2 linked regions of the Oryctolagus cuniculus genome follow. The main gene of each other region encodes a partner of the protein of the gene in region 2 in a complex. Links are inferred from orthologs where the notes say so. Each region holds a gene or a part of one and is shown on either strand. Other genes may lie near its edges. The genes, in order: PPFIBP1 and PPFIA1.

Region 1 (3,184 bases), on a different chromosome or scaffold from region 2:
TAGGAGAAGCAGGGCACTGACGGGGGCGGCCAAGGGTCACGGAGTGGGAGGCAAGCTGTCCTGTCCTGACCTCTCCGAAAAGTTCTATTCATTTGACAGGCAGAGAGAGAGAGAGAGAATTTCATTTGCTGGTTTCCTCCCCAGAAGCCAGCCCCTGGGGGCTGGGACTCAGGCACACTGAAGCTGAGAGCCAGGACTGCCATCCAGATCTCCCACATGGGTGACAGCAGCCCAACTACCTATGCCATCCCCACTGCCCTCCAGGGTCCTCCTTAGCAGGAAGCTGGAATCAGGGGTTGAATTCAGGTACTACAAAGTGCATATGAAGATACTGACTGGTGTCTCAAGCTGTAGGCCAAACACCAGCCCCAATGATCTGTTCTAATGCCTACACTTCCTTAACCCAGAGCTGGTACAACATGGGCCGTTCATCTCAGCAGCACAGGCTTGGAGCCAGCTGGGTAGGTTAGAGCCCTGGGGTAAGTCACCAACCTCAGCGTCTCAGTTAATGATACTCCCTGGCTTTTCCGGGTTCCGTGAACATCCTACATTAAGTGCTTAGAGAGTCCCTGGACTGCCGTCAACAATCCAAGCGTTTATTATTGTTATTTTATTCTCCTGACTTTTGGGCCCTGGATCAGTACACACACGTGCAGCATTCCCTTCGGGCCGGGACGCTGGAGCCACTTTGAGAGACTCACTCGGCGCCACACTCACCTGCTCTAGCCGGTCCAGGTCGTCCTCGTCGTAGAGACGCATGTCCAGACCAGGTTTAAATCCTTTCTTGGATGCACTTCCTGACACCTGTCCCAACTCCATCGGACAAACATATTCTTCCCCATCTTCCTGCTTCTTCTTTCTCAGGTTCCCAAAATTGCTGAAGGTAAGTTTCTTTGGCTGTAAAGAGAAAATCAAACAAAAACCCGGATATCTGAGAGAGCTCACATGACAAAAATACCGATAACAGGGATAAAATTATTTGCCTTGTCACAGAGAAAAATGAACAGATGATTAAATTTGAGTAACAAAAAGCAAGGGCAAGCATTTAGCCTTTGAGTATAATGTAAATTAAAAAGATGTTGTCTCAAAAACTAAGAGAGAGAAAGAAAGGGAGAGCGAGGGAAGGAGGGAAGAAGAAAATATCATTATGTTCTTAGAACTGTATGAAATACAGTGAACCTGTTCTCTTTGTAGTACATTACATTACATGAAAAAAATAAAGTAAAAAAAGACCCACAAAAAAACAAGCACACCCTAGGCAAATGAATCATGCACCCAAATACGATAAGTGACCCTTGTTATAAAGCTCAGGAGAGATAGCTTATTCTTCTTACACCAGTTAGCTATTTAGTCACCATGAAAAATATGCCGGAAGCCCCAGTTTTCATTAGACAAGACTTAATGCAAAGTTTTGCAACCAGCAAAACAACAACTGCAATGACAGCAAATGGTCCTGACTGTGTTTTCTCTGTGGGCGAGGCTGCACTGTCCTATACACTTGTTCTGTTTCCATTAACAGGACTGGCTGTTGCTAAAAGAATTTCCAGTCTTCTGCAGAGAAAACTTTAGTGCTAACTGGGAACTGCAACTCCATCTCAGACCCTGGATAGTCCCCTGAGACTTTCTTTTCTTTTTTTTTTTTTTTTTAATTTTTTTTTTGACAGGCAGAGTGGACAGTGAGAGAGAGAGAGACAGAGAGAAAGGTCTTCCTTTGCCGTTGGTTCACCCTCCAATGGCCGCCACGGCCGGCGCGCTGCGGCCGGCGCACCGCGCTGATCCGATGGCAGAAGCCAGGTACTTCTCCTGGTCTCCCATGGGGTGCAGGGCCCAAGCACCTGGGCCATCCTCCACTGCACTCCCTGGCCACAGCAGAGAGCTGGCCTGGATGGAAATGGTGGTCAGGCTGATGCCTGGCATTTAAACAGAACCACCTCTCTCAAAGGTTTCCAAATCTGTCACACTCTTTTTTTTTTTTTTTTAATTTCACAGGCAGAGTTATAGACAGTGAGAGAGAAGAGACAGAGAGAAAGGTCCTCCCTCTGTTGGTTCACCCCCCAAATGGCCACTACGGCCGGAGCTGCTCTTTTCCGAAGCCAGGAGCCAGGTGCCAGGTGCTTCTTCCCAGTTTCCTATGCGGGTGCAGGGGACCAATCACTCGGGCCATCCTCCACCGCTCTCCCAGGCCACAGCTGAGAGCTGGACTGGAAGAGGAACAGCTGGGACTAGAACCGGCACCCACATGGGATGCCAGCTCCGCAGGCGGAGGATTAACCAAGTGATGCATGGCACCAGCCCCAAATCTGTCACACTCTTAAAAACTTATTTGAGAGACACAGGGACAAGGAGGGGGGAAGGTGGGATAGAGAGAGACACACACACACACACACACAGAGGGACAGAGCTATCTCCCAAACATGGGATCACTCCCCAAAAGCCTGTAACGGCCAGGGTCAGGCAAGGCCATAAGCCAGGAGCTGCGACTGCAAGCCAGGTCTCACACACCGGGAGGGACCCAGTTACCGAGACAGCACTGTGGCCTCCCGGGGTACACATTCGCAGGGAGCTAGAGTCACAAGCTAGAGCTGGGTACTGAACCCAGGTACTGGGATGTGAGACCCAGGTACCTTAATTATCAGGCCAAACAACTGCCCGCAGCCTGACTTTTAACAGAGAAAGGACACAATAAAGAGAAGATGCTCAGGCAGATGGGATGGGAAGGGGGCAGGTAAAAAAAAAAACCTAGAACGCGGCACATGGTCTTCAAAAAGTTCATGGAAAATGTGAATTTTGAAAAAACGACACATAGGTTTCAAACTCTTTTGGTGCAAAAATACACTTCTCTGGTTTGATTTGTCCATGAACTTTCTGAGTGCCCCCTGTTTTTCTATAAAAGCTGGCAAACTCCATCTTTGCATTAAACTGATGGAGGTAGCATATGCAGCACGGGACTTAGAAGAAGAAAGAGCCACGTGAGTCGGGGATGTCCCACAAATCCACGGGAACTAGGAAAGCGCCGTCCTCGGCTGTTCTACCAGGAGTCATTTCTTCCGCAGCTACTCCTAACTGTCGAGGCTGGTCAGAAATCAGCCAGACGCCTTCCTCGTATCCCTGGCTAATGGATGGGAGAAGCAGGACCAGGGGGAACCCACTCCCCGGCTTGCTGCGTGGGCAACATAGCCAAGAC
Region 2 (4,271 bases):
GAGGGCGCTGATTCTGGACGGCGCTGCCTGTGAAATCCACCGAGATGGACACTTCCGATCGGGGAAGCCTTCTGACGCAGGCGGCAGCTATGTTTTCTGTAGCATTCTCCGGCTTGCTTATCTGGCCACACAATTAGCCAGCGAAGCCCAGCCAGATTCCAGGAAGAGAGAAGGAACAAAACAAGTCCCCTGGCTGCTTTCGGCGGTGCTGCAATCAGGCGCTGACGTGAACCGGCGGCGTCACCTTCAGCCAACCAGGCCTCTCCAGAAAGATCCCGGGCGCCGCCGCCCGCGGAGGCTCCGTGTGCCACACACTGCCACCGGCCTGCTCTCCTGCGTGCCCCCACCCGGTAACTACCTCATCAAACACCCGCGTGTCGGACGCACTGTCGTGGGTGCCGTATCCATGACCAAAACACGAAACTGCGGAAAAGACCTACAAGCACGTACAGTAAAATCCCGCACAACACGGGCCGGCCAATTCTTTGACGTTTTTGGCATTAAAATCTGACCTAAACAAAGTTGGTAGTTTATAAGACTTGAAAGAGAAAAATCTTAATGAATTCTCTAACGCACAACAAACCACTAACATCGAGTTGCGATGGCTAAAAAGGAACTCTGAATGTCTGCTCGTCGTGTTCAGGACGGCCGAGGACGGCCGAGAAGGGCACCGGGGCAGCAGTCCTGCACCTGCTCACTCGTCAGAGCGCCCTGGAGCCACCGCGAAGGCACCTCTATGGATAAGGAACGCGGCATGCAGACAGCTCGCGGACCCCCAGCAACCACGCATCCCCACTGTGCTCTGGGCGGCCCACCCGCCCTCGTCTCCTTCCCCTACCACTGAACCCCACTCAGCTCCGCAGGACACGCCCTGAGAGGTCAAACAGCCTCAGCTGTTTCAAGTTCCCCTGGGGTCAACCTCCAGTCTCCCAGCTCCTGAAACAAACCTGACCCACAAAACACAGCTGTCCAGTCCAGGGCAAAGCCCAGCTGTCTGTCTACCAGACGCCTCAGGGGAACTGCAGGTCGGTGGGACAGAATCCGCAGGAAATTCACACTCTGCATGGAAAGCCCAGAGACGGCAGACGGAGAGGGCTGCCCACGCCAGGCCCGAGCAACATGGGAGGACGGAGAGGGCTGCCCACACCCAGGCCCGAGGACAGAGGGCGCTGTCCACGTCAGACCCGGAGACGGGAGGACGGAGGGCACTGTCCACACCAGGCCCGAGCGAGACGGGAGGACGGAGGGCGCTGGCCACGCCAGGCCCGAGCGCGGAAAGGCAGGGCGCGGCTGCTGTCCCGAGGAGCTGGCCCCGAGCAACGCTGCGGCAAGCACAACCGTCAGCAGCCGCGGCCACAGCCGCCCGGAGCCGCGCCGCGCCATGGCCACAGCGGCCCGGAGCCGCGCCGCGCCACGCCATGGCCACAGCGGCCCGGAGCCGCGCCGCGCCACGCCATGGCCACAGCGGCCCGGAGCCGCGCCGCGCCATGGCCACAGCGGCCCGGAGCCGCGCCGCAGGGCGCCCTCACCTGCGGCAGCGCGGTGTTGAGCTGCCTCTGCAGAGAGTCCCTCTCGTGGCCGACCTCGTGCAGCTTGCCCTGCGTCAGCGCCAGCGTCTCCTGGGTCTCTCTCAGCGTGTCCAGAAGACGGTCCCTCTCTTCCAGCATGGACACCATCAGCTGCTCGAAGTGCGAGTCGGCGTCGGGCTGGGCCGGGGAGCCGGCCCCATGGCTCCCGCTGCCTCCCGGGGGGCCTTCTGCCTCACTGATGGTCGGCATCACCTCACACATCATCTGCAAGACAGGCAGCAGCCCGGTCATCCGGGGCACACACCTGCACCCGGCTGTCCCCACTCCCAGTCCTGCCTGCTTGCAGGGGGTCGGCAGAGACGCCCGGGGCCGCGACCAGCGAGGACCCAGAGCGGACCCAGAGCGGCCCGCGGGGTGCTGTGCCCGCAAGGCTCCGCTCTCTCCGCGTGCTTCTGGTACCTGACTTTCCTGCCGCCCGGCTCGGGGCCGGGGCAGGAAGGGCAGAGAGGGGGCATCGCACGGGAACGCGTGCGGTCGGCTCGCGAATGCCGGGCTGCACCTGGGAACCGGGTCCGGGGAGGGCGGGCAGAGGTGTTTCTCCGCGGCTGCCGTGGTTGGTCAGTCAACCTCGCTTACGTCAGTTTACAGCCCAAAAAAAATAAACCTGGGGGAGGCGGGGGTGGAAATTCCACGCGGGACGGCCAGCGAGGAAGCCAGGAAAAGTGAAAGGCGAGCTGACCAGAGGCTATTAGGTGTCTCCGGCGGAAAGGCCGGGCACCGCTCCGGAGGCTGCCGGGGCACCGCGACCCCCGAGAGCCAGCAGCCCAGCGCCGCGCACCTGGCGGGCGCCGGCCACCGCCAACCGCTCGCACCTCCGTCCCCTCCCGCGTCAGGTGCCGCACAAGCCCCAGCACCCGGGGGTGCTCGGAGCCCCTGGGACAAGGCCCGCCCGCCGTGGCCACAGGTCCTCGCCCCTGCCCCCGGCGCTGGGGTCACCACGGCGCCGCGGTCAGCGCGCGGCCCCCAGGGCTGAGCCCCCCGGGGAGCAGCGGGGCGCCGAGCTGGGTGGGGGCTCCCCGCCGAGGGCCGCGCCCCCAGCCGCGCCCCCGCGGCGTCCCGGCCCCCCAGGTGACACTCCGTCCGCGGGGACGGCCCGGCCGGCGCCGGGCGCCCCGGGCCCCGCGCCCGCCTCAGCCCCCCGCTCCTCACCTTGCTGGCCGGCGGCAGCGGGCGACGAGGCTCCGCGGCGGCTCGCTGCGGGCGAGCTCAGGGGCCGACGAAGGCAGCCGCGGGCAGCTCGCGCCCGCCCGCCCCACGCCGCGGCCCCGCGGCCCGCCGCCCGTCACGAAGGCCGGCCAGCGGCCGGACACTGGCGGAGCGCAGGAGGAGCGGGCCCGGCTGCGCGTCGCCGGCGTCAACGTGCCCGACGTCCGGCGCGTCGGCGCGAGCGTCAGCACCGCCCCGGGGGAGGGGCCCCGGGGCGCCGCGGCCGCGAGTGCGCAGGCGCCGCGGCCTCGGGAGGCAGTGGGCGGGGCCGCTAGGGCGCCGATTGGCTGGGCGTTGCGGAGGCTCCGCCCCGCCCCGCCCCGCCCACACGGGTCCCCGGGCGGAGCCACAGGTGGGAGCCGCGGAGCCAGGTGGCCGCTGTAGCTTCCGCCTGCGTGCTGCCCCCGAGTCTCCCGCAGCCGTGCGAGCGCGGGAGGCCTTTGCCCCCGCGCCGGCGGTGTGCCAGGTCCCGAGCCAGAGCTCCCCGGACGTCACGTCGGCGCTCCGCTCCCGGGGCTGGCGCTGCTACTCGCCACCTTGCGTGAGAGCGAACCGCGACCTCCGACGCCCGCTGACAGCCGGGCCCGGACCCCGCCGCGTCGGTCCCGGAGCGGCCCCGGGCGGATCCTTACAGGGCGGGCGGGACGCGGCGGCCCCGCCAGACCCACGTTCCGACGCTACATGCCGCACCTGGGGCGGCCAAGACCAGCAGCGTCGGATTTCGAGGCTCACGGGCGCCGTGCGGGGACGTGCAGGCTTCGCAGGCACGGCTGGTTCAGCCACCGGCCGCTCCTGTCCCTGGACAGCTCCGGGATGCAGGACCTGCGCCGTGGGAGGCACCTCCGAGCTGCCCTCGGGGGCCGGGCCTTTGAGAGCCCAGCAGGTGCGGAACCGGGCAGGGGAAGCCCTCCTGCGAGTCGTGCGTGACCAGTCACCCTTTCCGCAAGCGCCTAAAAAAGCGCCTGCCGCGTGCCACATCCCACGCAAAAGTGGCGGGTCCCAGCGTTCAGGAACGCACGCGTGCCCGCCCCCTGCACGGTCGGGCGCAGAGAGCGCAAGGTCTTCATAAACCAAAACGATAGGGCAGCGGCTGCGGCCCCACTGGCCTCTGGGTGCTGGTGTGCAGCCAGGAGCCGCACCCGAACCCTCCAGGTGATCCCTCGAATCTCCATGGGTCAGACCACCTAGAACAAGCACTGGGTGACCAGGGACCACACACGAACCCGAATCTGCATCTCTGCCCCAGCTCTTTGCCATGTTAAAATTGTACAAAAAAAAAAAAAAAAAAAAAAAAAACCACCACTTAGGTCTGCGATTCTGCAGGGGTGCAGGGGTGCCCGGTTCTCCGAACCAGGGTCTGGATCACTGATTTGCAGCTCTCCTGAGGGTCAGCGGCTCAGCGCACCCAGCCCGTGTTTGCCCATGGCTCACCACGGCGCCGCCTCCTTGGAAACGGGCACCGAAATGAAATGTGGT

The links.
Region 1: PPFIA1 (region 2) and PPFIBP1 share a complex: the UniProt entries of both Homo sapiens proteins name them as parts of the cortical microtubule stabilization complex. The link is inferred for Oryctolagus cuniculus from reciprocal best matches to the Homo sapiens genes PPFIA1 and PPFIBP1.

What each region holds. Positions count from the first base shown.
Region 1 is NC_091440.1:124,828,092-124,831,275, reverse strand, and holds part of PPFIBP1 (liprin-beta-1), read right to left. Parts: intron 898-3,184; coding exon 718-897; intron 1-717. UniProt on the Homo sapiens protein: May regulate the disassembly of focal adhesions. Did not bind receptor-like tyrosine phosphatases type 2A.
Region 2 is NC_091432.1:2,222,402-2,226,672, reverse strand, and holds the start of PPFIA1 (liprin-alpha-1), read right to left. Parts: upstream 2,945-4,271; 5' UTR 2,739-2,944; intron 2,010-2,738; exon of another isoform or gene 1,989-2,009; intron 1,794-1,988; coding exon 1,530-1,793; intron 1-1,529. UniProt on the Homo sapiens protein: May regulate the disassembly of focal adhesions. May localize receptor-like tyrosine phosphatases type 2A at specific sites on the plasma membrane, possibly regulating their interaction with the extracellular environment and their association with substrates.